Ovis aries: one gene and its partner. The protein of the gene in region 2 purifies or fractionates together with the protein of the main gene of each other region. This does not show direct contact. Links are inferred from orthologs where the notes say so. Each region holds a gene or a part of one and is shown on either strand. Other genes may lie near its edges.

The links.
Region 1: the proteins of EYA4 (region 2) and DCTPP1 purify together in Homo sapiens (affinity purification with mass spectrometry; 3 studies listed by BioGRID and IntAct, with this or other methods). This does not show direct contact. The link is inferred for Ovis aries from reciprocal best matches to the Homo sapiens genes EYA4 and DCTPP1.

The regions. Positions count from the first base shown.
Region 1 is NC_056077.1:27,117,987-27,122,245, reverse strand, and holds the start of DCTPP1 (dCTP pyrophosphatase 1), read left to right. Parts: upstream 1-1,459; 5' UTR 1,460-1,499; coding exon 1,500-1,597; intron 1,598-2,279; coding exon 2,280-2,390; intron 2,391-4,259. UniProt on the Homo sapiens protein: Hydrolyzes deoxynucleoside triphosphates (dNTPs) to the corresponding nucleoside monophosphates. Has a strong preference for dCTP and its analogs including 5-iodo-dCTP and 5-methyl-dCTP for which it may even have a higher efficiency.
Region 2 is NC_056061.1:58,960,908-58,964,419, reverse strand, and holds part of EYA4 (eyes absent homolog 4), read right to left. Parts: intron 2,278-3,512; coding exon 2,211-2,277; intron 685-2,210; coding exon 542-684; intron 367-541; coding exon 223-366; intron 1-222. UniProt on the Homo sapiens protein: Tyrosine phosphatase that specifically dephosphorylates 'Tyr-142' of histone H2AX (H2AXY142ph). 'Tyr-142' phosphorylation of histone H2AX plays a central role in DNA repair and acts as a mark that distinguishes between apoptotic and repair responses to genotoxic stress.

The sequences.
Region 1 (4,259 bases), on a different chromosome or scaffold from region 2:
CATAGTCTTAGCCACTGGACCACCAGGGAAGTCCCCTATTTCCCTTGATTTATTAATAATTACTCAGGTTAAATGTCAATTTCTCAAAGACAAGTAGCAAAAACAAAACCCTAAAAGTGGTTTGACCAATAAAGTGATTTATTATCTTATACAACCAGAGTCTTAAATCAGGGCATCTCTGTAACCTATTTTAAAATAAGTGGCTCAGCAATGTTATCAAGGATCCAGGTCCTTTCTATCTTACTATCTACCATAGTACTTATCACCATTTGAGACAATATACCCACTCCGGTGTTCTTGCCTGGAGAATCCCAGGGCCGAGGGAGCCTGGTGGGCTGCCGTCTATGGGATCGCACAGAGTCGGACACGACTGAAGCGCCTTAGCAGCAGCCGCAGTAGCAGCAGTGTAGGAGTTAACCCAGATTCTGAAGCCAAACTGCTTAAATTTGTAACCTGGCTACCACTTAACTAGCTGTAGAGTTAAATTACTCAATCTCTCAGTTTCTGTGTCTGTAAAACGGAGATGATGACTATAATATTAACTACCTCAGAGGGCTGATTTGAGGACTGAATGAAAGGCTGTGAGGATTAAATATGTAAAATTGAAACAGCTTCCCTAGTTCCCCTAGAGGATGAGATGGTTGCATGGCATCATCGACTCAATGGACGTGTGTGTGTGTGTGTGTGTGTGTGTGTGTGTTTTAGTGGCTCAGCCGTGTCCGACTCTTTGCGACCCCACAGACTGCAGCCAACCAGGCTTCTCTGTCCATGGGATTCTCCAGGCAAGAATACTGGAGTGCATTGCCATTCCTTTCTCCAGAGGATCTTCCAGATCCAAGGATCGAACCCTGGTCTCTGGCATTACAGGCAGATTGTTCACCTTTTAGGTTACAGAGAAGTCCTCAAAGGACACGAGTTTGAGCAAACTTCGAGGCAGTGAAGGACAGGGAAGCCTGGCATGCTGCAGTCTACGGGGTCGCAGAGTCGGTCACGACTGAGCGACTGAACAACCCTAGTTCCAGTTCATTCCTCAGGCTCAGTTTTATCCTGGAGACATTCCTGTATCGTTTTAATAAACTCTCCTCTCTCCTTTAAACCATTCGTTTCTGGGGTTCGCCACGAGGCTCCCGGAACTGTCATTTCGCTTTGGTGCCATCTGGCGCCCCAAAGGGAAATGACGCGCCTGCGCTCTCCGCTCTCTGCCCTTTGTCTCTTCCCCTGGTCGAATCCGGTACCTATATCTTTAAGGTTTTTGGTCAAGACTCAAGAATTCAGGGGCGAGAGCCAAAGAACACCCGCTTGAAGGCCTCTCAGGTTGGTCCAGTCCGGGTAAGGGGAGGGATTTAGCTAACTCCACATGAGTAACTGGTCTTTCCTTTGGCTCCGCCCCTGTGAGGCAATCACAAACGCCTGTGATTGGTCAGGGGCTCTGGAGGCGGGGGCTCTGAGCTTGGCTGCTGGTTCTCCCTGACGGTCCCCGCTGCAGCTCGGTGGGCGGCATGTCCGCGAATGAAGAGATTCGTGGAGGTGCCAGAGGAGAGAGCACTACCGCTACCGGCCCCTTCAGCTTCAGCTCGGAACCAACGCTGGAGGACATGTAAGCCGTCCTTGCCCAGCCTGAGCTGGGTAGATCGCCCCTACTCCCTCCTTTCGGGTAGGGTCCCTCCACGTGTTCGGAAAGAAAGGCTAGCAGCTGTGCTCAGGTTCTAGTTCTGGGGGCTGACCCCAGGCGAACTTCTAACCTTCTCCTCTGCAAAATGGGCTTAACTATACACATCTGAGGCAGGGGACATGCCGGAGTACGGTGATGCTTCTGCCCTGCCTCTGTCCTCCAGGAGCGGGAGGTAGGATGGGAGCAAATGCAGTGTTGAGACGTCGAAGACATTTCTTTCTAGAGGAAATCCAAGAGGGCTTCTTGGGGGAAGTGTCCTGGGGCTGCATTCCGTAAAATCAATAGGATTTAGATATGCAGAGACAGGGTTATTCCAGGTGGAGGAAAACTGTAGAAGCAGCAACAGGAAGTGGAACAATGAAAACGAGGGTATTATTAGATTTCGATAGTTTAGGGTCTGTGTAAGGATGCACCCATTTTACAGATGAGAAAACCACATCCTTTAAAAAAGAGATGACCTGTTTAGGCCATCCAAAGAATTAGTTGCAGAATCCCCTCTGACTCGCATGCCCCCATTGCATCTCACTGAGTACCTGCCAGGGCCCCGCATCTCCTCCCCCAACCCCTAACCTTGGACCTGGACTTCCACCTCTTTCTCCCATTCCAGCCGCCGCCTCCATGCTGAGTTCGCTGCTGAACGAGACTGGGAGCAGTTCCATCAGCCTCGGAACCTCCTCCTTGCCTTGGTGGGGGAAGTGGGGGAGCTGGCAGAGCTCTTGTGAGTAGATGACAGGCTCTCTGGAAGAGTCTGTGTTGAGGAGGGGAGGGGAGGATTCATTTGACCATCAAATATCCATGGATCCAGTTTCCGCTCCTCACTGCCAAGCTCTTCTGTACCTGGTTGCTGGGCATTTAGAGAGATGACTTATGGGTCCGCTGCCCTCTAGGGGCTCCCAGTCTCCTGGGAGAGAAAGGTGTAAAAACAGCAAGGTAGATCCAGGTCTGAGAAGGGGTGGTGGCAACCTTCCTTTACCTCTGCCTCTGGGGTAGAAAGGCTGATCTTCTATAGAAGGCATTCCAGAGAGGGGGAACCACATTTGCAAAGGTAGTGAGATGGAAAAGGGCGAGTTAAATTCAGTGAGAATGTAGGAATTCAGCGACAAGGTAGGATTCCTTTAGTGTGAGCTTCTTGACAAAGGGCAAGGGTTTTGTATCTGTCTTGTTCTCTGGTGTGTCTCAAGTACCCAACACACAATAAGTACTTGATACATGTATCTCTTGTGGCCGCAGAGGAGAGGGGTAGGATAGGAACACAGAATGGTAGGATTCGGCTGGGAAGTAATGGAGTTCTGGACAGAACGCCTGACCCGATTTGAGTGGTAGAAAGATCACTGTACCTGCAGAGTGGATTTGATCCTCTAGGAGAATTGTGTCAGGGGAAATCAGTGAGGAGACTGGTGTAGGTGAGGCAAAATGTGGTGAGGACTAAACCAGGGTAGTCTCAGGGGCATGGAGAAATGACAGCACAGATGTGTGGGAGGGCAATCCATTCATTCATTCATTACAGGTGCATGAGCACTGTCTGGGTGCTAGGTCATCTAGAATCAAGATATGGTCTTGAACAAGATGGATACACTCACAGTGCAAAGAGACTGACAATAAATAAGTGAACTAACTTTGAAAGATATGGAATTGTGACAAGTTCTAGGAGGCAAATAACACAAGGTGTTGAGAAAGAAGGTAACAGAGGAAGAAGGCTGTTCTAAGGAGGTAACATTTGAGCTGAGACCTGATGGGAAGCATGGGTGGGGTAGAGCATTCAAGGTTGAGGGAGCAGTAAGTGCAAAGGCCCTGTGACAGTTTGGCCTATTTGCAAGACAGAAGAGGCCAGAATGAATGGCTTTAAGGGTGGGTGGGGGGCAGGTCAGAGGGAGTGTGGTGGATAATGACATTGGCAGAGACAGGAGTCATTTCATGCAGAACCTGGAGGGCGAGGTAGGAGGTTGGATTTTATTCCAAGAACAGTTGGAGGAGTTGTCATTTTTACTTTTGGCTGTGCTGGGTCTTTGTTGCTGCATGTGAGTTTTCTCTAGTTGCAGTGAGTAGGGTCTACTCTCTAGGTGTAGTGGTTTCTCTTGTTGCAGAGCATGGACTCTAGGGCGCTCGAGCAGTGCATGGGCTCACAGTTGTGGCACACGGGCTTAGCTGCCCCTATGGCATGTGGAATCTTCCCAGACCAGGGATCGAACCCGTGTCCCCTGCATTGGCAGGCAGATTCTTAACCACTGGACCACCAGAGAAGTCCAGTTGGGGGAGTTTTAAGCAGGGGAGGGATGAAATGTAATTTGTTCTTTTAAAAGATGGTAGGGTAAGAAGAGGAGATGAGTTAGCAGACTTTTGCCGTGGTCCAGGTCTAAGGTTTAGTCTGGGGTAGAAGTGACTGGGGGTTGGCAAGTAGGACTGGGTCCCAATAAGTGAAATGTCCTCTCCTTGGCTTAGGTAGGAACACAGAGGTCTGGGTGAATCATCTGATGAGGTCTCTTCCCCACCATAAGGAGTCCAGGGCCCAGATGGGTTGACTTGTCCTGGAAGAAACTTACCAGGAGGTGGGAGTTCACTGCTTCAAGGACTGGGCTGCTCCTAAGAG
Region 2 (3,512 bases):
CAACTTAAGCTTAAGTATTTAAATTTAATATGGGTCATGTTTCTTGATGTATGTTGAGCTCTTTTCATCATGTTTTCTTTTAGTTATCTTTTCCAATGGTATCGTCTGAGCAGTGGTAACATTTAATACTGTCTTCATGACTATATATTCTTAGTCTGAAGCCAAAGAGTCTCATTCAAAGAATTCTTTCTCACTTAACATGTATCCTGGGTGGCTGCTTACCTGGCATCTGGTAAGAATAAGGTGTCTGGCCTGGCTGTGGGGTAGAGAAGCCTGGGCTGTAACTGAGGCACCCACTCTGCAATGGGGACTGAGTTTGTGAGAGTCCACTCTCTGTCTTGATGCCTGGTAACATCACGCCCAGATCTGTTTGGAAAGTGCATGTGCAAACCATTTTATTAGTAAAATGATCGTGCTGGAACGTGAGTTGCAACTTATACTAGAATATACGTTTATATAAGAATATTAGAACACACAGCTACTAGCCAGCAGGATTACCTGCTTGTAACCAAAGAAGGAGAAGAGAGAAGAAGGGAAATACCGTAAGTGGGTAGGCTGTAGGGCTGTCCTGTCTGTGAGTAGGCAGTGTAGACGGCTGGCTGCTGCATTCCCGAATACTGAGTCTGGCCTGCATAGGCGGACATTGTTTGAGCTGCTGGTGTAGAAAGAATGTGTGGATAGGGCCTAAATATCAGAAAAATAGCATTACTGCGGCAACAAAGACTGTATATTATTTCAGACAGCTTAGATTCAGTGAAACCTGATAATAGCCAGGAAGTAATCCTCTTCTTTATCCACAACACCATTTTTACAATATAGAAAAGGACAAAAGTCTGAATGTCAGGAGAGCGGGCTCTGCTATAACCCAGTCTCAATACCTTGGACAAATAAACTTCCTAAGTCTATACCTCACCTGTGAAAAGAAAACTTTGGTTTAGATATCATCTTGAAAGTCTCTTCCAGGTCTATATTGCTTACATCTGAAATAGTATTCCAATTGATACATAGATGAGGAAAGTGGAGTCCAGGTCAGTTAATTAATGAGTCCAGGTCAGTTAATTGATTAATTAACTCATGAGCATTATTTCCTGTTACCATGCATGACCCAATGCCATGTAATGATTACAAAAGTCATTAAAAGCCCTAGGAAGAATTCCTTACAAGAACTAAAAATCTTATCGAAAAAAAATTTTTTTTAAAGTACGCAGCTTCTTGAAATGGAAAGCCATTCCCTTTATCTTGCCACATCTTACAGAATGTCCTCAAAATAGATATCCAATCTCTAGCCTATGCTTAAGGATAAACACTGTAGCTGCTGTAGAAAATAACTTTTAAATATGCATGATCAGGAATCCCAAATCTTGACATATCTCTCTGATGGCAACCAAATTCAGATATACACCCAATATGGTTAAGCTTGAAATGTTTACCACTGTCCTCAAAACGTTGACTACATTAGTTATACAAGCAATAGTGCATATTTTTCCAAAATGTTTATTAGAAGTTAAAATCCAATAAAAATATTATAAAGCTGGAACAAATTATGAAGTGTTGAGGTTTGAGTAAAATGTAATCTTTTCAGATTTTCTTTAAACTAGTAATAGTTTTCAAATTTTTATTGTAAAAATCAGTATATTCTGATCTGTGCTTGATGCTTTCTTCAAAATATATAAATGTTCGAAATTAAAGGAACTGTCTGGACAAAAGTGAATATATTCCTAGATTTGTGAAAGATATTTATTTATAGGTCTAATCTATCCAATGAATCTATCAAAAAATATATCTATTTAACTACCTATAACATTTATCTCAGAGAAGGCAATGGCACCCCACTCCAGTACTCTTGCCTGGAAAATCCCATGGACGGAGGAGCCTGGTAGGCTGCAGTCCATGGGGTCATGAAGAGTCTGACAAGACTGAGCGACTTCACTTTCACTTTTCACTTTCATGCATTGGAGAAGGAAATGGCAACCCACTCCAGTGTTCTTGCCTGGAGAGTCCCAGGGACAGGGGAGCCTGGTGGGCTGCTGTCTATGGGGTCGCACAGAGTCGGACACGACTGAAGCGACTTTGCAGGAGCAGCAGCAGCAGCAACATTTATATATATAAATATATCCTGACTTAAAATTATTATATTGTGTAAATACGATTAATCAAAATAATGCCAGAAAATTATTCTAACAAATCTTGAAAGACTACTGACCACTTACTTGGAAGGATACAGCTGTGGGGAATATTGATGCGCGGATCTGGGGCTGTAGCCACTACTTGTTATTACTGTGAGATACAAAAAATAGAAAAAAGGTTGCTTCATAAATATGTTTCATTGGTTTCACTGGAGTAATCAAAACTAATTTAAAGAAATGACCATGTTAGAGAGGTATTTCAAAAAATTCACTCATTTTCTAAATAGAAAATTCATTCGTTTTCTAAACAGAAACAGATGCCTATACATTTTTTTCTAATTAAACTGTTCCATATTTGTTCTAGGAAAATGACATGAAATCTTCTCACAAATCAACCCCCTTCATCATTCTTCCATTCTCTCAAATCAGTGGCATGCTCTTATGCATTAATATGCTATGAATAAATAACCTTGATTATAAGTAATTAAGCTTTCATGATATAAAAGTAAACCTTTTCATTTGCAAACTTCATGTTTTAAATTCCACACATGATGACAAGATAGTGTTCTTCCTACATTTACTCTAGTAGAAATTAAATAAAAATTAAGAAAAATGCGATGTTTCAACCTTCATTTTCAAGTTATAAAATGATAATGCTTTCTATTTCCTTTCATTTTGTCAATCTGATGAGTAGTTAAAATGCAGAGTCCAAATAATTCTCGTAATAACTGGAATATACACAGAAAGCCTGGGTGACAATGCAACATGAAAAAAAGCAGAACTATGACACCCAGCAGCAATCCTATTTACAAATGTATTTTGAACTCTCACAGACTAGACTTTTTTGAGAAGATTTTAAAGGTGAAAATCAGGTCTTATCAACATTTCAGCCAAACATGCAGTCCCAAATTGGACTATTTCCAAAAGTTTGGAAGTTTCTTTTTCCTTTAACCATCTGCCTTGACTAAGACAGATGTATTGCAAATATATGGACCCTAAAGTGTTAAGGCCGTCCCTTCAGAGCCAATCCACACTGGGCAAGCACACAGAGTGTCTTTATTAGGCCATCTGCTGTTCATTCACTTTTCAAAAAGATTAAAGTAGTATACAATGCAGCGCTGGAATTAGTTTAGCCTAATCAATCATAGTTATACTTCAAAGTACTGTGTCCTTTCGAAGTTGTTCATAATTCTGGAGCTAAACTTTCAGAATTGTAAAAGTGACAAATAGGTTTAGGTTGCTAACTATTTTATGAAACATGATATATTTCTATATCCAAATGCTATTAAGTATCCTTGTGATCTATTGCTTCATAAACACATAGAATTTAATGTATTTAAAATGCTATTTGGACTGTAAGCTCTGAGTATGGAGAGTATATTATAG